Drosophila melanogaster: one gene and its partners. The gene in region 1 interacts genetically with each later gene. Each region holds a gene or a part of one and is shown in the gene's direction. Other genes may lie near its edges.

What was found.
Region 2: of hep (region 1) and Gadd45, changing one suppresses a phenotype caused by changing the other (phenotypic suppression), as found in Drosophila melanogaster (one study listed by BioGRID).
Region 3: of hep (region 1) and Sox21a, changing one suppresses a phenotype caused by changing the other (phenotypic suppression), as found in Drosophila melanogaster (2 studies listed by BioGRID).
Region 4: of hep (region 1) and btl, changing one suppresses a phenotype caused by changing the other (phenotypic suppression), as found in Drosophila melanogaster (one study listed by BioGRID).

The regions. Positions count from the first base shown.
Region 1 is NC_004354.4:13,087,393-13,092,373, reverse strand, and holds the start of hep (hemipterous), read left to right. Parts: upstream 1-1,939; 5' UTR 1,940-2,597; coding exon 2,598-3,015; intron 3,016-4,981. Other genes in the region: lic (licorne), read right to left, coding at 1-90, 153-285, 372-762, 833-891. UniProt on the Drosophila melanogaster protein: Required for the epithelial cell sheet movement called dorsal closure (DC), which allows establishment of the dorsal epidermis. Controls the expression in the dorsal epithelium edges of another dorsal closure gene, puckered (puc).
Region 2 is NT_033778.4:7,247,443-7,251,160, forward strand, and holds Gadd45 (growth arrest and DNA damage-inducible 45), read left to right. Parts: upstream 1-1,718; 5' UTR 1,719-1,978; coding exon 1,979-2,470; 3' UTR 2,471-3,213; downstream 3,214-3,718.
Region 3 is NT_037436.4:14,102,942-14,110,058, reverse strand, and holds Sox21a (Sox21a), read left to right. Parts: upstream 1-1,940; 5' UTR 1,941-2,251; intron 2,252-2,900; 5' UTR 2,901-2,984; coding exon 2,985-3,517; intron 3,518-5,171; coding exon 5,172-5,805; coding exon of another isoform or gene 5,806-5,862; 3' UTR 5,863-6,578; downstream 6,579-7,117.
Region 4 is NT_037436.4:14,073,973-14,081,787, forward strand, and holds the start of btl (breathless), read left to right. Parts: upstream 1-1,841; intron 1,842-1,903; coding exon of another isoform or gene 1,904-1,973; 5' UTR 1,974-2,076; exon of another isoform or gene 2,077-2,151; intron 2,152-3,092; exon of another isoform or gene 3,093-3,155; intron 3,156-5,482; 5' UTR 5,483-5,639; coding exon 5,640-7,815. Other genes in the region: Pex1 (peroxin 1), read left to right, coding at 1-546, 605-801, 864-1,487, 1,738-1,841, 1,904-1,973. UniProt on the Drosophila melanogaster protein: May be required for patterning of muscle precursor cells: generation of mesodermal and endodermal layers, invaginations of various types of cells, and CNS formation.

The DNA.
Region 1 (4,981 bases):
CCGGATTTCCTTGGGGATCGATCCGTTCCGGCGCCATGTACGGCTTGCAACCGGCATCAATGGTTTTGGCAATGGAGTCGACGAGGTAGCCTAAAAGTCAGTCCAATATTAGAATGATTACAGTGGCAAGAAGTCACAGAATGCCAGCCCACCTGAGATGCCAAAGTCACAGATCTTGACCTGGCCGGCCCGATTGATCAGTATGTTCGAGGGCTTGACGTCCCGATGAATGACTTTCAGTTGAGCGTGCAGATAGTGCAGCGCACTGACCACGCTCATGGCAATCTGTAAAGCAAAGGCAGTAGTACGGTAATAGTATAGTGGCGATTGCCCGATAAGATTAGACCCGCCCCCAATCCTCCCCAGCTGACCTTGCCCAGCACGCTTTCCTCCATTCGCAGATCGTGAAGGAAGACCTTCGGATAGAACTTGTCCAGGCTGGTGCTCATCACCTCCATGCAAATCCAGACATCGCCCTCGCGATACATCGCACCATAAAAGTGGACGGTGTAGGGGCAGTCGCTGGATCTCATCGATATGTCCAAATCCATTACAAGGCGGTGCTGTTCTCGAATATTTACGGTCATGGGTATGCGTTTGACGGCCAGGACCGTATCGGTTTGCTTATGGCGCATCTTATCCACGATGCCATAGGCGCCACGGCCCAGATCGCAGATCTTCTCGAGACTATCTGCATCGATGTCAAAGGTCCGGTCGCCAATTTGGATGGTGGCCCGCGAGTCCAGGTTGCGTGGCGGGACTCTAAAAGGATTGCCGAATGTAGTTCAATTCACAATTCGTTTCTGGCCAGGATTTGACCATTTTGACTTACATGGCGGCCTCTGGCTCCTTGGCAATGGTAAAGGGCGTGAGGCGGTGGCGTTTGGACATTTTGGTAGGCCCTTCTATATCCTATATCCTATATGCTATATGCTATATATACCCTCTCCTCTCCACGACTTTCCTTGGTGTTTTCTGGCGGATTCTGCAAGACTTGGCGGTTCGGTGCGAATCGGATGCGATGCGGTGCGGCTATTTTTACCGCATTTGGTCAGGTCAGGATTCGGATGCGGGTCGGTGATATGGGGATCGGATCGGTGTGGATCGTGTGGCCCGGGTTTTGCCGCCCAACCTTTCGCTATTGCCTTTGCTTTCCTTTCCGCACTTTTTGCACTGTTCACCGATCGCTTTTCGCTTCTCTTCTCGTTTTTCTCTCTTTTCCACTAGCGCTGGCCAGCCGCAGTTGGTCCTATCGATATATCCCAACGAGTGCAGCTATAGTATCGTCATACAAATAAATCGAAGTGCCTCGATAATAAATTTGCTTCCACCTGCAACGAATTTAGATAATTAAGTTAGGTATCGATTATATCTATATCTCTTTGTAAGCCTTCTAGAAAGTTGTTCCGTATATTCTTCATACCTATTTTTTAATGTTTGTTTATTTTCTTTAATTTTTTATTTATACATTTATAGACATTTATTTTAAGGGAAAACTTAATAAGTTCTAGCCAAGTGATGCCCATCTTAAGTTGCATTTCGGTATATTTATGATTCTTTTTAGCACTTTGGTCACTCCGTTTTCGATACGTAATGTTGCAAGTTTGACTGAACATATAGAATTCGATGTTTTAGAATTGTACTAAAATAATTTATTATTTTATTAATTAATAAATAGGTAGACCTTATATTATTATTTTAAGTACAAGAACAACGAAGTCTCTCGAATCGACCAATTTGAATTTGAAAAATCTATTATAGTTATATTATATTTGTATGAAATATCCTCTGAAAATTATTCTATCTCGGTAAAATAAAATCCTACATAGTTTTAGATGCCGTTCCTAGTTCGAAAACTGTTTCTGAGGTGCCGATGTTTTGCAAACCATCGATAGGCACGAAAAAAGATATTAAGAATTATCGGCGAAGAACCATCGATGGCTGATGCATCGATGTTTTTTTACATCACTATTGTACACGCGATTTAGGCAGCAAAAACGTACAAAAGCGAGTGATCAAATTGTGCCAGTGATACCGCCGCCCGCGGTCGCGAAACGAATCGATTGCAGAAGTGCGACAAACAGCGCCGCGAAAGGAAAACAACCGATGAAATATTCTCCCAAAAAAGGAGGAAAAAATCGCAAGTTGTTGTTGCCGTTGCTGCTGAAAAAGAAAGAGAGAGAGGGCGCTGCGTGTATGCCTGTGTGTGTGCGTGTGTGGGGGTGAGGATGTCTCTCTCTAATGCACAGTGACTGTGTTTTCCTTTTTTCGATTTTGTTTTTGTGCCCCCCCTTGGCAAACAACAAAAGTCCAAGCAATCCTTTATTTTTGCAAGTGTAAAGTTTACAGTGTATGTGTGCCGCCGAACAACAACAACATCAGCGACAAAACAAACAGGGCGCACAGCAAAACAATTCACACACACACGCACCCTCCCCCGCCTGCGCGCGCTTGTGTGTGTGTGAGAGAGAGGGAGTGAGTGAGAGGAAAATCGAAGAAGTGCTGGCCAAAAAACGGCGAAAAAAATTTAATAAATACCAAAATCCAACGATACTAGCAACTAACTATAAAAAATCGAACCAAATCGACTCGATATAATGTCCACCATTGAGTTCGAAACGATCGGCAGTCGGCTGCAATCCTTGGAGGCAAAGCTCCAGGCGCAGAATGAGTCCCACGACCAGATCGTCCTCTCCGGTGCGCGCGGCCCTGTCGTTTCCGGTTCCGTTCCATCTGCCCGCGTCCCGCCCCTGGCGACATCCGCATCCGCAGCCACATCCGCCACCCACGCACCTTCCTTGGGCGCAGGTTCCGTTTCCGGATCGGGTATCAGCATAGCCCAGCGTCCAGCACCTCCAGTTCCTCATGCGACGCCCTTCGGCAGCGCCAGCGCCTCGTCATCATCCTCATCCGCATCCGCATTTGCATCCGCAGCACCGGCGACGGGCACCTTCGGTGGAACATACACCCCGCCGACAACTAGAGTGTCGCGAGCCACGCCCACACTGCCCATGCGTAAGTCCTCTTTTCGTTAACTTCCTACTAAATCTTTAATATATAAAATTAATTGGGATCAACTAGAAAAACACTGTAGTTACCTGAATCTTTGAAAATCGTTGAAGAAAAATATAACAAAATATAATGTCACAACTAAACTCCATGTACCAGGGAATACTCTAAACCGCTATCTAAAAATGATAGCTTATCAAACTGCGTACTGTAACTCAAAATTTTCCAACGAGACTTTCCCGATTCGAATATTCGATAATTCTCTACTTTCGAAAGTAAATCGTTGTCGAAAAACAGTTTTGGCCGCCAAAAACGTGGTAAAACTTTCCAAGTAAATTTCCAAACGCACAAACAACATTTTTGATATTAATTCGCAGAAAGATCAATGTTTTATCGATCGAACATTAGACAGGTGAAATCTTTATTGATCCTCTGTGACAGGTGTGGATTTAAGCCAACATTTCTCTGACCGCAACTGTAGACAGTTTGTTAAGTGGTAATAAAAGTGGGCTGAGAAAAATCGTGATCCCCAAAAATGGTCACCAAAAATCTATATATACCGTACCGCCAACCGCAAGCCACAAAACCATCTTTTGTCCGCATTTGTGTAAATATTTTGTTAATAAATTGTCATTGCCCAATAAGCTGTGTATGTGCGCGTGTGTGTGTGTACATACATGTATGTGTGCTTAAATTGTGATAAGAGAAGTGCTCTTTTCTTGGCTTTTCCCATTGCTATTGCCATTGGGTTTACTTTGGAGCATTTGGATGCCGCCAACAAAGGGCAAACGCTATCGATTCCCCGACTGCATAACAGCTGCTCATAATCCCCCATTCCAGCACCTCAGCAGCGCCCCGTCAACCCCGTAGCTCTGCCGCTTTTCCCCCCCTCCGATTTCCCGTTCTGTTTTTCCGATTGCATAGATAAGACAGGCCAAGTGCGAACACCAAAAGCGTACCCAACTTGTTTTCGGCCTTTTGTTGGGCCAAACAAAAATAAAAAGAAGTCAAATCTACAGTGGTATTAACAGCTGTGAACCGCGTCAATTTATTTTCGCCTCGATTAGATTAACAATTCCTGGTACCATAACTGTTTGATACATGAACCCCAGAAAATGCCTAATGGGTTTTTGAATAATCAAATACATTTCGATTCGATTAGATTAGTAGTGGTTAATAGTTTCCGCGAATTTCAGGGGTACTTAAAATCACACCCAAATTTTAACAGTGTAATCAGCTATTGAATAGATTTTCAAGTTCGTGGTACATAATGAGCGAGCAAAAGTTAAATGAATAAATAGCTAACAAAATATAACGGTCTATATGTTAATTTATCAGAACAAAATTGGTTTATTAAAGACAAAAGTTGTCGTTATTCGATTATTTATGAGGCTTAAATTGATAGAAATTTTAAATTTTTCATGTAAGAGATGACGTTATTGTGCCCACGGTTGTGAGACCACCCACCGCCTTTTTTCGTTTCTTTTCCCCTTCCTTTTGTTATACATTTAAGTTTTTGCATATTTGTCTTGTATATTTTTCTTATTGGATTTTCATCTGCCATCAAGTGTTGTTATTTATTTACTTACATACTTTTTATTTACTTTTTGCATGTGTGCGTCTCTCTACTCGCGTTTGGTGCTCTCTTCCTCTCTCGCTCTCCGCCATTGGTTACTTTTTGGCATTTCCGGAGTAATGTCTTGATATGCCCGTTACTGTTGTTGTCATTTTTTTTGGGCCTCACATATTCCCACCTCCGCCGCACCCTGCCCACATTCGTTCATCGGACATTGTGCCGTGTCTCCTCTTTCGCATGTTTACAAATAGCGTTATTTTTTATGACGTGCTGTTGTTGTAGTGGCTAATTGTTGAATTGAATTGCTGCCAGGGAAAAAAAAACTTCGCAAACAAAAACAAAATCGCTCTCATTCGCTCTTCCTCTTCATGCACACACACACACACGCACACGATG
Region 2 (3,718 bases), on another chromosome or scaffold:
GGGTCAATTATTAAGCATAACAAATATAAAATATGCTTTTTATAATGATATTTTCATAATTACAAGTATTGGGCGAACAGATGACCAATGATGTCTGTCCGGTTTTAGCTAGAAAACCCCCAAAATGCCACTGCATTTCCGCGGTTCATTGGCCACTTTCGAGGCGAATTTGGCGCGCAAATTCGTAGCTGAGTCGGCGATTTCCAACTTTCAGCACTTCCGCGGCTGATCCACTTACTACAGGTATGCCCCTCATAAGCACGACAGTTGTTTATGTTTTCGGGTCTAAATACATGCATAGGTCAGTAATTCGAATCACCCTACTCTTAATCATAGTAGTATGTTATTGAAAGACCAGAAGCTTCTTCAAATTGCATGCACATATATATGTACATATTTACATACATATGTTATTGTTATGATCATGGGCTGACTATCAGCTTGGTTGGGTTGAGTTAAACATATCACCTGCCCAGATGCACAGATGAAAACAAGTGATCTTAACCTAAATATAACCCTTCTTATTTTGCCTTCTTTAGGGTTGTATACTTTTCATAGCTTTTTACTTTTTTTGTCGTAAATCTTGCTGAATTACATGCTGCAGCTGCCCAGGAATTGTTTTCAATTCTACGCTGCACGCTCAGCAGTTTGTTCAACTCCAAAAAACCAAAACACATGTATGTATGTATGTACATACATATGTAGGCATCGATTTTCAGGTGCTATTTATAGCCTTAACAAAACCTGCGAACCTATGCTGATTCGGCGATTAAAGTAATAATTAATTACTAAAGTGCACGGCCAGCGGTAGTTGAACCCCTTAGGAGAAGCGAGCTGGAAATTCCGCCGGATGGCGTAGTTCTCGGGTTCAATTGATAAAACTCAGTGGCGATCTCGACTGGCGATTCCGACACGTTCCCACGTGCCGAATGTGCAGCGCGGAGGGGGGGAATTTAAAATTGGAATGCCGCGATAAATTGATTAGCAACTCCCTTTGTGTTTGGACATGCGATTCTGTTTGTCCGGCCGTCTGGCCAAATGCAAAAAGAATAAGATCGTGCGAAGCCTGGCCAGAAATAAAATTCGGGTTAACTTGGGTAAGTAAGGTCATTCGTTAATCATACGCCTAGTATACGCGAGTTGCGCATACGTCGCGTTGGTCGCCGAGATGCGACACACTTGGACCTGTTGCTCGCCATCAGCCATCAGGTATTAGTGGTCCATTCACGGGGTTCTGGCGAAATGTATGTACTAAATTTAAGAAAACCGTTCAAGTGAAATTTATTTACGAATTTTTGTTCGAATTTTGATGAGCAAATTGCGATTTACTCAAAGCATGTTCGCACACGATTTTTTCGCGCGAAAGATAATGAAAGCGAAGCTCTTACTTAAGGGAGACACTTTCCCTGCCTTTGCGAGTGGGAGAGCCGAGTTTCCGGGGGAGCCAAGTTTCCTGACCCCATTTGGAGCGTCCAAAACTGCAGATTGCAGTTTGGGTGTGATGGAAAGAAACCCCCAATCTGCTAATTGCCGCGACATCAACGGAAATCTTTCGGATCCCAAAAAAAGTAATGAAAAAACCCGATTTGGCTGAAAGAGCGCAAGAGCGGGAGAGCGAGCCCCCCTAAAAAGCTCTCGCTCTCGCATTTCTGATGAAATTCAGTGGAATTCTCAGGCGGCGGAGAGCGCGGCTATAAAAGCGTTCGCTCGCCAACCGAAAGCATTCATTGTGAAATTGCCACTCAAAATTGAAACAGCGCGGACAAACGGTTGAAGAAACACAAAGCCCAGTGCGAAAAGAATTTCATAAGCAAAAGTTAATCGGGTGCTAAACAAAAACACTCGAAAGCAAAGCAAAGCATAGCAAAAGCAACAACAAACAGTGCCAGCTGAAAGTGCCCAAAAAGTGGAAGCCAACGGCTCGAAAATAACACAAAACCCAAAGCAAACGCACAACCAAACGGATAACACCCACAATATGGTCGTCGAGGAGAACTGCAGCATGCACCACCTGGAGCGCGAACTGGACCTGGAGCTAGAGATCGATATGGCCATGGAGTGTGCCCCCATCGGACGCACCATCAAGTCGGCCCTTCTAAGGGCCCAGAGCGAGGCGCGTGTGATCGTGGGCCTGTCCGCCGCCATCAACGTGCTCTCCAAGTCGCCGGAGGGATCCCTCTTCTGCCTGATGGCCCAGCCCAAGGACGGCGACTCTGCCACCCACATGCACGAGGTACTGCTGGAGGCCTTTTGCTACGAGAACGACATCTACGTGATCAAGGTGGACGACGCCACCAAGCTGAGCCGCATCCTCGGCCAGGACTCCGTCGAGTCGTGCTGCCTGGTCCAGAAGGTCTGGGCCGACGCCCCCGAGGAGCAGCTGACCAAGGCCGAGAACCAGCTAGTCGACTACTGCGAGGCCCACTGGGACGCCCCCCAGCAGCCCATTGTCCAGCTGCCGGCTGTGTAGGCGCGTGTGAGCGGGACAGCCAGATGTCACAGAATTGAATGGCCCCGCACAGTGGGCGCAAGCAAACTCTAATGGAAACCAGTTGCTGGGGGTTGATGGCCCCGAACGTCTTGGAGAGTTCCCGAGGGAATCCGACGTTTCGTGGCGCTGCCAGAAGCCCACCGGCACATGTACACCTACATAGGATATATAGAATACGACATATGTATATACCCTAACCTGCTGTATTCAGGAAGCAGGAGAGGGAGGAGGGGAGCAGAGATGGATAAGCCGGCGCCTTGGCGGATAATTGAAACTGAAAGGCGACCTTCGAGGCGGCAGTAACTGCAGCTGAGATACCCGCGGAAGTCGCGCACAGATACTCACGCACACAGCCAAGGAGCAGCATCACACACAAGCGCGTGACCAGCTGCCGAACCAACAAAACATATGTGCACATATGTACACAGAACCATACATAAATATAGCCAATTTGTTTCTGTATAATTTTCGCTTTAAGCGTCGCGCAAATTTACTGATAATGACAATTATTCTGTACGCCGTAAATTGTAAATTATACTTAAAAGGAGAGCAGCCAATTGCATGTATACCATTAAAGTTTTGTTATGTTAGCTTTTCCAAAAAAAAAACATCAGATGAAAGCACACAAAAAAATGTTATCTAACTTAAGCACAAAAAGAAAATTGAAAAAGGTTTGAAAAAAACTGATAAAAAATGAAAAATAAAAATCTTGTATAAAAACCAAACTTTCTTCGTCTTGTTTTTTGCCCATCCCTTTCAGCACTCTCTTCCAGCAATCCAAACTGACGTCAATGGGTACAAATCCCTTGGATTTGGATCGGGAGGCCGCCCGACTCATCAATCTTTGCATAACTGCCGGGGTTTCCCCATCGAGCGTGCCTTGCATATAGGGCCCCATCGGACGCCTTATCAATGAATTCTCGGAACCCAGTGGAATGGAAAACACGCGTGAGCGCCGAAATCGGGGCCATCCATCTGGGGGAGACTGGGAGAAGCCCTCGGCTCGAAGTATGCAGTTTTATCAACTTAGATAATGGGTGCGAGAATAGTCAGTTTGCCTAGTTAATTGTTCCCATCACTGATCAGTGGGAAAGTCAATTAGAAGTATGGGTCATGCTTATAGGGGGAAAAAAGTAAAGCACCGTGGAGCACTTGAGTTAATCAGAGTCAATGGGCGTTATAAAAATCGTACTGGGATATTTACGATCCAATGAACGAGACAATTTC
Region 3 (7,117 bases), on another chromosome or scaffold:
GGGTGATTTAAGTGGGGGGTTGAGGTTTGGGGCAGCTCACACACACACACACACACATTTCTAGAGCGCTGCCATTTTTATTGTTGTGCGATGGTGAAGGGGGGAACCCGCCAAATGCGTTTCCTACTTAGCATTTGTTTTGGTGAAGAAGGATATGGGAGAGGGGCGAAAAGAGGGGTAAGTCGGGGAGTAGAGGGCAGAAACTCTACAAAAGTTACGACCATTTGAAGAGCGACGCTTGCGCAAAACAACCCCTTAGGAAGATATCTTTTTATGGCGCCAACAGTTGTTTTTTAAAAATGCCAAGGAATGCAGAGCAAAAATCCTTAATTGCTTTATTCCTTAACCTTTTCAAGGAACGCAATAAAATTAAAAAAAAAATTTAAAATAAAAAGCACTGCGACGATTCATTTATCTTTAAAATGTTGTTTTTGTTACTTTCTAGGTCAAATTAATTTGAAGATTTAGTATATACTGTGGAAATGTTGCTAATAGTCCCAATAATCGTTAAATATTATTGCAAAAGCATATTTAATTAAAATTAATTGTGATCGGGAAATTATTGTTCCGGATGTACTATACCTAGCATATTACACACTTTTCTATTGACATTACACTGTAAACACCGGGAAAATTGTCTAATTTCTTAGTATTCGTCAAGGGAGAAGCTCCGTTGGCGGAACATTGAAACCGTCAATTATAAAGAGCGGCATTTATAAGAAATTTTAGCAAATGTATAAAGGTGGTACTATTAAGGGATCAAGGGCTTCTAATCGTTGCAATTATACAGAAATCGTTATTGGTACAGCAACAACAAGAATTGAGAATTTCCTGTGTGTGACAAACAAGGAGAGCAATTGAAATAAGCGGCCCAACCCTGCCAACAAAAAGGGCCAATCTTGCGGATACCGAAGCTTGCAGCAAACATACCAAATAAGCCACCGATCGATTGTGAGAGCAAACACCGGTCTAATACACAGTAAGAAATTATAGTGCCATAACCATATAGTGTAGACCATGCATATAAGTAAGTATCCAATATTTGGTTAATTGTAGTATAAGATTCAAAAGCTAAAGTGTATTTTTCATTCGATTGATTGTTGCCACTCCGTTTTGTATTCCATTTAAATAAACTAATCAAGGCATTTTTTTGACATCTTAAAAATGGGTTCTCATTCCATAGTTAAGAAGAGCTATAAAGTAGTTTAACTATGCCTTTTATTTGGATCACAAATGCATAGAAGAAAAACAGAACTGAATAATAAAGTGTTTTATAAACGTACCAATTTATGATTTAATATTTTGTAAATAAATATAGCAGCGAAATTCTCAGAACTAGCCGGAATTTTCTTGAATTTTTCAAAGAAAACTATTTATATTTACAATAAAAATTGATATTGGTAGCTTAATATGAAATATGTTATTGGGCTATTCAAATTTTCAAAATTATTTTTGTGTTACGGTTTTGATAAAAAATGCAGATATCATCAACTGGCGAAGAGCAAAAGGAGCAATGTTTGGTAAACAAGAATGCAAACGTGCACACAAAACGAAAACAAACCCGGAGACTATTGTCAATAAGATACAAAACGCAGATACAAAGATACAAAGCAGCAGCAGCGAATTTTTATCACTTAGCCGCCACGTTGACGCGTCCTCCGAAGGTGTAAAAAACTCTACAAAATGTGCGCGCTCTCTCTCTCTCTCTCTCTCTCTTACTTGCGCGACCCTTCTCCCTTGCACTATCTCTCGCCTTGTCTCGCTCCCACTCGGTCCTTTTGGGCGGCAGCGACGCAGCAGCGACCAACCACTACAGAGACACCCTCATACTTACAAACACCCACGTTCTTCCTCTTGCCCCTTTTTGTTGCGTTTGTTTGCCGTTTTTGTCGCAAGTTTTCGAATGTGTTTTCAAATCTAAATTGTCGCGCACTCGAAACGGACGCGCTGCGCTCGGCTAACGGTGAATCGGCAGTCTAACGGTTTAAATACTTTCAACGTTCGTAAATTCGAGGCTCTATAAATCTCGAACTGTTTGGAAAATAAGTTAAAAATTCATATCAGTGCACTTGTGTATTTTTAGGAGTTCTAATGGCGATCAACAATAATTAACCTAGTAATATTAATAAACAAAAAGAACTCGATCGCAACGTAAACTCTTGTGCAATTAATTAGATAGTTAAGTGTCACGCATCGGATGGAATCCAAATTTAAACTTTATTAGGGAGAAATTAAAAGACAATTAATACAGGTAAGCTAATTATGATGATGAGAAAAGGTCCCTAGGTAAACAATTCGAATATTTAAATATGAAATGAAGAAAAAGCTGTGCTCTAAATTAAACTATTGCACACTCCTCCCCAAAAACTAAACACTTTAAAAAAGCGAAATAAGCGAACAAATATATTTTCTTAAAAAAGAAACCAAAAGATTTATAAGGATATGAAATATATAATGAATTTTATGAATATTTGCAATTTTCAATGTTAGAAAAGCCTGTTTTAAAAAATATATCATTTTCCAATCCAATCTTTAATTAATTCATCATTTGAAATCGAATTTGGCAGTACTGTTAATATGCAAATATACGTTCTTCAAGGAATATATTTTGGATAATATTAATTTAAGGGAAATCCCCAATTTTGCAAATACTCAATACTGAAAACTGATTTGAATTACTGGTAAATATTTAAATTGGTTTGTCATAAAACCGGGACACCATTTTGAGCCCCCTGTACACACACATTAGAAGGGGTAAATGGAGTTCCATTGTGCATATTTTTGGTAAGCTATTCGCAGTGCGAAGAGCTCCAATCAAATGACTCATGCAGGGAGCAGCAGACAGAGTCCCCAAGCTAACAAGGCATATCTATTGAATACCATTTCCGTTGGCATTTCAGAGCTCGAGGAGCAGCTGCAGCACTACCACCTGATAATTACCACCTGCACCCCCATTGGAGTCCCTTGACTCCGCGCCCGGCATCATGACGAGCATCTCGGCCCTGCTCCATCGGAGCCACAGCCACAGCAATGGTTACACGAGCAGCGGGAGTAGCAATCACAGCCATAGCAGCAGTCTCTCACCGCAGTTGCCCGGCATCAATTTGGGTTTGGGCATGGTCGGTGGCTTGGGCATGGGTATGAGTGTGGGAGTAGGCTCTGGATCGGGAAACACCACCCCACCACCGATGCCGCCAGCTGACCTCGCCGTTCCGCCAGCGGCCCCCACTCCGGTGGCACCCAAAATGCACCAGCACACGCACCACCATGGCAACTCCCACCATAATGCCCCGACCAGCCACTCGAATTCGAATACTGGAAGCCATCACAACAGCCACGACCACATTAAGCGACCAATGAACGCTTTCATGGTCTGGTCGCGGGGGCAGCGTCGCAAAATGGCCCAGGACAATCCAAAAATGCACAATTCTGAAATATCAAAACGCCTGGGCGCCGAGTGGAAATTACTCACCGAAGGACAGAAGCGTCCATTCATCGACGAGGCAAAACGATTGCGGTAAGTATTGTTCACTGGGGTCTGGTTAAAAAGCACTGAGAAAATATGTATGTACTAAATTTGTAAACAGAAATAAGAGTATTTTCTTACCTGGAAAAGTCCTTACCTTTCAATTCAAAAGTTAATTTTCCAAGTCTATTATTAATAGGGTTTATTAGGGCGAAGTTATATTTAAAAAAAATAAAAAGATATGGATCCCATTGATGTTAAAAATCACAGATTATCATATTGCAGTAATCCTATATTAATTTAAACTAGGAAAAACATAGTTCTTGTATTTTTTGTAGTTACCTCCGCTTTCTATTCTTGGATATAAGAATTACTTTGTTTATTCAATTTTATTCAGTCCACACGATATACATTTTTTTTCTGTGCCGGCTTATGCAGGAGCAGAGTGGTGTAGGTTGGATGGGAAATTCTGGCTTGGTTTCGGTTACCATTTTCCCAGTTGGTAGCTCATTCTCACTAGATGCCGTCTGGCCACAAAATTTGATCGATTAGCTAAGACAAAGGCTACCTATTGTGAGGAGCTCCTGCTGAATTGCGGAGCTCTGGAGTCGGGGATTGTGTCCGCTCTGCTTAGTCAGAATTTCATTGGCACTGCCATATCTTGGGTAAACATTTCAATTGAAGTTGTCACACAAAAGCGAGGCAACACGTCGCATGAAATGCTCCATTCATTTTGCATTTTGCTTCTTTTTGTGTGCTTAACCCATTCAGTGTACCCTTTCGAAAGGGTTTGAGTAATTTCAGTTTGAGCTTAGTTTTAATAAACGTAATTATCGGGATTAACTGAAAATACCGCTAGAATGGAGTTCTTTGTACAAGAAATATACTCAAAAGCGAGCATTTTACAAATAAGTACAAAAGTGATATCTCACATTATTTTATTTTTTATAAAACTAGCTTTTAAATAAGTTGTATTGGTATAAATGGAATCAAAATTTGCAGTGCACTTTTAAACCACAGGAATTCCCAGAAATGCCGTATCTCACAAGTTCGTTTTTTCTATGCCTTCCTAGATAGTGCGGTCTTTTATGATGACGAACCTCTGTGTTTGCACTGTCATAATCCTTTTATTGATTGGATTGGCCTGCCAAAATGGAAATGTTAAATTTTACTTACATTTTATGACATTTATAAATGATCAGGGCTCGTCAGAAGGGGCTTAAACTAATGGCCATTCGGGGTTTTCGAGCGAGCATATCGAATGAAAAGAACCAAAAATTCTGATCAAATATTTGCCAATGCGCGATGATAAGGAAAACAATATTTTTTTTCGGGACCCGCGATAAGGAGGCCATAACTGACCAAAGAAAGGAAAACAAAATAAAGAAAAGCGAAAGTAAAACAAGAGGAGGCGACCCAAACACACCTTTTATCAGGTTTTATCGTTATGTCAAACAAATGTCAACAATTGCGCATTGTTGCAGCTGGGAAATCGGAAAGAGAATCGAAGTTGGAATCGGAGTGCTGGTTCTTCGCTAAATACACAATATAAACTTGTGCATTTTGTATCTGCCTGGCGTGGGGTTTATGGAAGGGTTCCGCTTCTCTTGGGGTTTACGACCAGAGATGGCTGACTTTATGATATCATCAAAGCTTAAATCGTTCGATCTTTTGATCAGTGTTTCAACATTTATTTAATTTACAGGGCTCTGCACATGAAAGAACATCCCGACTACAAGTATCGACCACGTCGCAAGCCCAAGACGCTCAACAAGTCACCGGTGCCAGGTGGTGGTGGTGGCGGCGGTGGAGGTGGTGCCAACGGTGGTGTCAACGCTGGTGGTGCGGGTAACTCCGGTCCCAGTGGCCCAGGATCAGTTGGCTCCCCCAAGGATATGCAGCCCCAGTTGTCGCCCTTGGGTCAGTCGCTGCCACATCTCCACGGACATCCGCACCAGTCACCATATCAATCGCATCCACACCACCCGCATCCTCATCCACATCATGTCCAGCTGGCCGCCGCCACCTTGAGCGCCAAGTACGGTTTTGGTTCGCCACTGGAGTTATCGCTGCCCCGCCTGCCGAATGCCTTTCCCGGCCTCGCCCACTATCCACTGGATCCCACGTTGGCCCTGGACCTACAGGCGCGCCTCCAGGCGATGTACGCCGGCTCCATCTACCACCCGTGGCGATATCTGCCGCTGATAAGTCCGGAAACTCCACCCTCCCCGCCCAGCAGCAGCGGTACCGGCATCTCATCCTACGGATGCGTCAAGTCAGAGAAGTCCTCACCAAATGCGGTAGTGGCCAGCGCGGCCAGTCCGCCAAACATCATTTGACCGACTCCATTGCGCTTCGGCGCCGGCACCTCCTCATCCGCGGAACACGTGGTCTAGGATGAGCACCACAGAGGGAATTTGGATGGTAAACTTTACCATTCCTCTCCAAAAGTTAAAAGTCCTAATGTTAGAGCCTAGTGTTAGACGAATATTAATGCACGTCTTTAGTTGCTACTATAATTATGTTTTTGGTTCTGATTTAGTGCTGCTTCACTATTTTAGATGATTAATTTTAAAACTACATTCAAAATCTCAATTTACTGACATTTTTTGACAAATAATGAAGTTAAGTCCGGCCTCGAAAAGCAATAGACATTTTAAATCAAAGAAATTTTAAAAAATCTTAGCTAAGAAATAACACTTAGTAGTCTCTTATAATTTATATATATATATTTTATATATATTTTTTGACATTTTATTAAAATTCACAACATCATTTGAATTCGTACATATTACTTAAACTGCACTTAATATTTTTATTGATATGTTGTTATATGAATAACTCAATTCTTTCGATAAATCTTTGAATTAATCAGCTTTGAATCAGCTTAAAACACATTTTAAATGGTTTTATTCATACCTAATTTAAGGATTTCACAATCTTTGTTATCAATTTCTGGAACCCAAACAAATGGCTTATTAGATCTAAAGTACATTAGATTTGTTAAGGCATCGAGAACATGTCCACTTTTATGTAATATATGATTGTAAAACTATACTTTAATGTGATAAATGAAAGAGCAGAAATCGAATTAAAAATAGTGTGAAATTCCACGATTTTTAAACAGTGTACTTGAATAAAGCATGGCATTGGGATTTATGGCAAAATTGTAACAATAGTTTTAGGATTGAAGAACCCTATAGAGACCTGGTTTGCATGTGAGTGAAAATCATAGCTTGCAATCTGTAAGGAGTCACCGCCAAACGCCACAGGCTTCTGTGAATATAACGACAATGTTTGCTGATGCGTTGATTATTAGTTTAAATTGCCGACACGCCGCGGGGATGAATGGATGACGATGGCCAGGATTGTCTGCCGTTTCGGAAGGGTGGCGATCGTCCTTAATGGGATTCCTTCACGCCCACTTGTTTAAGCGGCCAACTGTGAAGCGCTCACCGTCGAGGCGTGTCAATAACTCTCGGCCCAAAAACAATTGGCACTTTTTTGTCTGAGGCACTGCACAAAACAAAGCAGCAACCACCACTATTATTGGACTTTTCTCTGGGTGGGTTGGGTGGAATATAGACAGCTTGGCGGTACAGGGCAATCGCGACAGCATCGTAACCAGCTGAAAAGCCGCCCATAAAAGTC
Region 4 (7,815 bases), on another chromosome or scaffold:
TGGAGCGCATTTTGGACCAGCTGTCACGCAAGCCGGATTATTGTCACTTCGAGTTCTTCCACGGATCGCGAAGCAAAGGCCGCAAGACGGAGTCCATCCAAAAAGATCTTCGCAACATTTTTACCAGCTGCCTGCAGCATGCCCCCGCCATTGTTGTGCTAGAAAACTTGGATGTACTGGCCCACGCTGCTGGAGAGCAGTCCAGTCAGGATGGAGAGTACTACAATCGCATGGCGGATACTGTGTATCAGTTGATTGTTCAGTATACCACCAACAACGCTATTGCAGTAATCGCCACCGTCAACGAGTTGCAGACCCTCAATAAGCGATTGAGCTCACCAAGGGGAAGACATGTCTTCCAGACTGTTGCTCGTCTGCCCAATTTGGAACGAGCAGATCGAGAGATAATTCTTCGAGAGCTGTGCAGCCATATCAATGTGGCCAAGGACCTGGATCTTGTTAAGTTCTCCAACCTCACGGAGGGCTACCGGAAATGTGATCTTGTTCAGTTCGTGGAGCGTGCAATATTTTATGCTTATCGCATAAGTGAGTAGTTTGTAGTGTTAGTAAGCAACTTTATCATGTTAAATTCCCTTTTTTCCAGGCAAGACCCAGCCTCTTCTGACCAATGATCAGCTTATTGAGTCCCTGGAGCACACAAACTCGTACTGCCTGCAGGGCATTCAGAGCAATCAAAGAACTGGCAATGATGCCGATGCCAATGAAATGCGCGTCGAGGAGTTGCCTGGCCTGGAGTCAGTTGTGGGAGTTCTGGAGGAGGTCCTTATGTGGCCATCAAGGGTGAGTTTTAAACGAAATATATGTTTTTTTCTAAAATTTAATAAATCATTAATTTCTTACAGTATCCAACCATTTTTAACGCCTCTCCACTGCGCAACCAGGCCGGAGTACTTCTATATGGGCCACCAGGAACAGGTAAAACCTATCTGGTCTCTCAGTTGGCCACATCGTGGAACCTGCGCATCATTTCCGTCAAGGGTCCTGAGTTGCTCGCCAAATATATTGGTCAAAGCGAGGAAAATGTTCGAAACCTGTTCAATCGAGCTCGCAGTGCCCGACCATGTGTGCTTTTCTTCGACGAGTTTGACAGCTTGGCGCCGAAACGTGGTCACGATTCCACGGGGGTCACCGATCGAGTGGTAAATCAGTTGCTCACAGAACTGGATGGCGTTGAAGGACTGCAGGGAGTTACCGTGATAGCAGCTACCTCCAGACCGGAACTGCTAGATCCCGCGCTTCTTCGATCCGGTCGCATTGATCGCTTGGTGGAGTGTCCTTTGCCGGATGCTCCGGCCAGAGTACGTATATTTGAAGCACTCAGTTCAACACTGAGCCTTGATGAGTGCGTGGACTTCGATTGGTTTGCGGGAAAAACTGCAAACTACACTGGCGCCGATATCCAGAGCATCCTGACCTCGGCGAACATGGCGGCGGTTAAGGAGGCGCTAGCTCAATTCGGACACGAGGTGAGCTGGGAATTATTTTCACCGGAAACAATCTGCTTTATGGGTCATGCAAGCTTTCAACCGTTTCTTTCATGTTTTATTGTTTCTCATCCTGATTTCAAATGTAACTTCTATGTAAAAACTCCTTTACGTGTTTGTCTTTTAAATCAAAAGTGAAATCTATGCTACTTCCTGCAACAATGATTAGTCACGTAGTTCTTAGTCTCTGGCCACAGTATAAAATACCATTTGTTTCTTATTGCTTTCCCAGAAACTGGCAAAGAAAATTTCCTTGAAGCAGAAGCACCTGATTGAGTCGTTCCAAACCACTCGTCCTTCGCTCAGCGCCTCCGATGTGGCCAAATATCACAGAACGTACGTAACAATGTCTTCTTTGTTCTTCTGTTCTTCTTACCTTTTTAATTATCTCTTGGTAGGTATGCTCGCTTTACCAACAAGGAGAAGACTTCTAGGGAGTTTGTAGCCAAGCGTGCGACCTTGGCTTAAAGACAAAGACTTATAAGCTTAGCATTATTATTATTTTAAATTGTTTTTTGCATATTTGTACATCTGGAAAATGGAACATTTTGTTGGAAGACGCAAGTCTTAGGTAGTACATATTTCATAATTTTTCTTGTTGAAAAATAAAAACCAAATTTCTTTTATGATTACTTCGTATAAATCCATATACCACTCCGGAGTGTTAAATTGAAAGAATATTATATTTTAATTATAATGTACATACATGTATAAAAAAGAGAAAGAGATGTTCAAATTTAAGAACTAATATCTTTTCGCATTCTGACCTCGGTAAACATGAGTGCTGTTAAGGGGTGGCTCCTTAACAAATGAAGACATCAGGTGAGTTTGGTTATTAATTCACCGGAAATTGTGTTTAGCTATAACAAGTTTTTGATAGCTAGTTTGGATAGTATGTCCCTCCTTTTCGTATTTCCCAACTGTTTCGCATTTGTTCCCATAGCCCCTAACAAGTGCATCAAAAATGCATTTAACTATTTTTGGGTAGATTACGTGCCCGGCATCTGGATCTGGATTTTGGCCTATGCGGGAGCTAGCTGCTGCCATGCCACATGCAGCAACTGAGATTTTTGGATATCAGTCACGTAACGGATATTTCCTTATTGATATGCGATTACCGCGCATGCGCACGTACTGCACACCACTAAGACAATGGACACATTTTCTTTTGCATAAATTAAGCCGCCAAGCAAACAAACAGGGAGGGAACCCGAAGGCCAGATAATAAAGAATTTCAACGAGTCGAAGCCACCGCAAACATGCTTAGAATAAAACCAACAAGAACCTAGCAGAAGCAGCAGCAGCAAACCAGCAATAAAAAGAAAGGAAACCGCTCAGGAAAACTACCAGCGAAAACAATTGCAACATGCGGGAGGGAGACCACCTCGATCAGGTAGCCGTCCGAACCCATACCATCCCATCCGAAGACCCTGTGCCCAGGATCCTAGCAAACATTATCGCAGGGAACCACAGATATCCACTCGTTTCGTATCGTATTGGATCGTATTGGATCGGTTCGGTTCGATCGGCACGTTCGGATCGTTCGTATCGTACCGCGTAAAAGTTTCTTCCGTTTCGATCGTTACTTTCAGTTGTTTGCGCACATTCAAGCCAATCGGTTGGCTCCTTCCACAAACTTTACGGATTACGGTTAGTGCAACGGAAGTGAACCCCCCCCCCCCCCCCCCGCCCAACACCAGCTACCCATCACATATTTCTTTTCATTTATGCCTGGTAAAGGGAAATAAAAGTTGGCAACGAAGCGGAAATGCAAGGCGCCTTCCGCTGCCCTCTTGCCGAGTCTTAAGATTTTTATACAAGCCCCAACCGCGATTGACAGCCGAATAAACATAGTGACAATGTTTTTTGCAATCTTATTTGCCTTCTCCGGCTCCTCGAAAATAAAAGACAAAGAACGTGATTTTTTTGGTCAAAGATTTGGGGTTGTGGCATGGCAGAAAAGAATTGTGTTCCCACTGCGAACTGACAAGCAGCAGTGAAACCAAAATAAAGCAAAAAATAATTTAAGAGTGAATTGTTCCAGCAGTAAAATAAATACAAATCTTTCCAAGTGCAGCCAAAAGATCATAAACCACAGATAAATAAAAACAAAAAGTCTGCAAAGTAACCAAATGTTAAAAATAAAATTTTAATTGAGACAAAGAAACGTGATAAAACTGATTCATACATAATTAAATAAACACCAATGAAATAAATAAGAAAATAAAATTAAAGTGATGTCAATTGTATGAATGAATAATTTATGTCTTGATCCAAACATTCCTTTTACATTAAGTCAATGTTTGCAGAAAGAAAACTGAATGGGGAGTTAATACCCAGGGTTCCAAATAAAGAACTTATTCTATTCTCGATATAGCTGATTGACCAAGTTGAAATATCAAATCGTTCATGCATTAGATTTATACGCTCGATAATAATTCACAAGATAAAAAGGTGTGAGCTAAACGGTTTTGGCCATGTGCGCTTGTGGCTTAAAATCGAATCGAATAATATTGAATGAATGACAAACTGAGAAAAAAATTAAATAAAAATAGCAATAATACATACTTCAAATACAGCGATCGACTCGTATTTGGCAACAAATGAGAAAAAAAGGAATTGAATAAATTAAAACCTGCGACGCGTGTGCATACATACATAAATCGGGCCTGAAGTCAAACGGCTAGCGGCTAGCGGCAATATCGGCTAAAACAACAACAACAATTACTGGCAGCACTAGCACCATATTAACAACAACAATGACAATCGCAACGGTTGTCCCAAGCCTTACAAACAATAAAATACTTTTCATTAAACAGCACAGTGGTCAAAACGATTTTATAAAAGTTAAAAATATTTTAATTTTCTGATAGAAAAAATAGTCGAACTATGCTATGCCCCCATTATTATCAATATTTTCTAAACTTCGTTTAAAACTTTACATTTTGTACAAAGCTTACATTCGCAGACAACAAGTTTGGGAATTTACCCTATCATCATTAATCATTGAACTAAAAATTGTTTATTTTTATTTGGCAAACATTTGACGAACCCAAGTAGATGGAATACCCACTGTCCTATACCCTTTACGTGATTATACTAAAAATTAATTTTGAAATAATTATCTGCTATTAGGATTTTCGAGCAGTGTTATTCAGTGTTTAAAGCATAACTTTATTATAAATATACCTTTTAATTGATTAAAATGCTGAGCTCATATTGCACAGAGAATTTGAATGTTAATTAGTTGCTATTTCAGATTGTGGCAAATCATTTAGGTATTTCTCGATTTGTTGTTGCAATTCTCTAGCACCTTGTCTGTTTGTTTTGTAAGTGCAAGTATAGTACTTGGGGAATAACTGAAAAGTGTGACACCACTGTAACAACTGATTTCAACAAATAGCTAAGTGATTTTCTAACTGTTCGGCATTTAGTTGAATGGAAATCGAGGAGCGCAGGCCGCAGCAACAAAAGCATTTGGCGAACGTCGAATATAGACAAGTTATAATGGAGATCCCCTTCGGTAGTGGGTGGCGACGAGTGTGTCCGGCAATTCGGTGGCTTCGACCACGTCTTCCAGCTCATTACGAAGGCAGGGCACACAGTTTTCGTTTGTTTCAGTTGCTTCTCCTTTGGATTTTTGCATATCGGTGCGGACAGACTTGACTTGGCTGTGTGCCGTGTTGGCAATAAAATATTAAACAATAATAATAAATAAATAAAATGACACAGATCGGGAACTAAGGGAGGGGCAAAAAGTGAAGCGGAGATTTGGCAATATTTATTGATCCACTTATACAGCTGCGGTCAAAAGAATAGTGGCACAATAGTGGTATTCAAGTAACGAATAGCTAATAATATTTGCATTCATAACTTCTTAAATTTAGTTAAATTAAACAAAATTCCAAAGTGTTATTTTTAAAGTATAATATATCAATCAATGCCATGTAATTCATATATTTAATCCTTTCCTTTAGCTGGAGAACGCTCGATTTGAAATCGAGGAACTCGAATGAAGATACCCACAGGAAGTGATATTATTTCGACCGCAACTGTAACCCATATGTACACGATCGTGCCCATCCAGATACGAGATCTTGGTGGCTGTTGAACTCAAGAGAATCCACTTGAATCATGGCAAAAGTGCCGATCACGCTGGTGATGATCATTGCGATCGTCTCTGCCGCTGCGGACCTGGGATGCGATTATGGCCATCATCGTTGCTACATCGATGTGACTGTGGAAAACAGTCCCCGCCAGCGCCATCTGCTCTCCGACATGGACATCACGCTGCAGTGCGTCCGACCCATGGCCAAATGGTTCTATGAGGATAAGTTTCAACTGAGGGCTACCCTTTTGCGACTTGAACGAGCACAGTCCGGAAATTCTGGAAACTACGGCTGCCTGGATAGTCAGAACAGATGGTACAATATTTCCCTTGTTGTTGGCCATAAGGAACCAGTTGGCAATGATATCGCCAGCTTTGTCAAGTTGGAAGATGCACCGGCCCTCCCGGAGTCAGATCTCTTTTTTCAGCCCCTGAATGAGAGTCGATCCCTGAAGTTGCTGCAACCCCTACCCAAAACCGTACAACGGACCGCAGGTGGCCTTTTTCAGTTGAACTGCAGTCCCATGGATCCGGATGCAAAGGGTGTTAATATATCCTGGCTGCACAATGATACTCAAATCCTTGGTGGACGTGGACGCATTAAGCTTAAAAGGTGGTCATTAACAGTGGGGCAACTGCAGCCGGAGGATGCTGGAAGCTATCACTGTGAGCTGTGCGTGGAACAGGACTGCCAAAGGAGTAATCCGACCCAATTGGAGGTGATAAGCAGAAAGCACACGGTGCCCATGCTAAAGCCCGGATATCCCCGCAATACCAGCATTGCCCTCGGGGACAATGTGAGCATTGAATGCCTACTTGAGGACTCTGCCCTGGAGCCGAAGATCACGTGGCTACATAAGGGGAATGCGGACAACATCGATGACCTCTTGCAGCGTTTAAGAGAGCAGTCCCAGCTACCTGTGGATGTTACCCGATTGATTACCCGAATGGATGAACCGCAGGTACTTCGTCTTGGAAATGTCCTGATGGAGGATGGCGGATGGTACATATGCATAGCCGAGAACCAGGTTGGACGCACTGTGGCCGCCTCCTATGTGGATCTTTACAGTCCCTCAGATACTACCACAGTTCGCACGACCACTACTACCACCGTGGCCAGCCCAATACCCACTGCATCCACCGGAGAGGACAACGATGACGACGTGGAAAATCCAGCAGCGGAAGCATCAGGCGGCGTTGGTCCACCTGTGTTCAGAAAAGAGCTGAAACGATTACAGCACTCATTATCGGGAAATACTGTCAATCTAGCCTGTCCAGTGTACGGCAAAGCGAACATCACCTGGACGAAGGACAAGAAGCCGCTAAACCGTGAACTCGGCGTCTATGTGCAAAAGAACTGGACACTCCGCTTCGTGGAGGCCACCAGCGAGGATTCTGGACTATACAACTGTAAGGTGTGCAATGCGTGGGGCTGCATCCAGTTTGACTTCAGTGTCCAAATAAACGATCGCACGAGATCCGCACCAATAATCGTGGTGCCGCAAAATCAGACGGTGAAAGTCAATGGCAGCTTGGTGATGAAGTGCACCGTCTACTCTGATCTGCATCCAACAGTCAGCTGGAAAAGGGTTGTCCTCAAGAATGCCTCCTTGGACGGCCTTAAGTCTGTGGAAATCCAGAATCTCAACTTCACCGTGACGAATGACTCCGTAGTTTTAACGCTTCGTAATGTGACCTTTGACCAGGAGGGCTGGTACACCTGTTTGGCCTCAAGTGGTCTGGGAAGGAGTAACTCCAGTGTGTACCTTAGGGTAGTGAGTCCTCTGCCACCTTTGGAGATCTACGCCCTGCTGCACGCCCATCCTCTCGGATTCACCTTGGCCGCTATTACGATAGTGGCTTTGTTCCTTTTGGGCAGTGCTTTCATAACGTTCATGCTGCGTCGGCTGAGGAGGGAGAAGCTCCTGAAGCTCCGCATCGAAACGGTTCATCAGTGGACTAAAAAGGTGATCATATACCGACCGGGTGGAGAAGAAGGAAGTGGCTGCAGCTCCGGCGATCTTCAGATGCCAGTGATAAGGATCGAGAAGCAGAGAACAACCGTTTCCACAACGGGAACTGGCGGTACTGATCCCGCCCAGGGCTTTAATGAGTATGAGTTCCCGCTGGACTCAAACTGGGAGATTCCCAGGCAGCAGCTTAGCTTGGGCTCCATTTTGGGTGAGGGCGCCTTTGGACGCG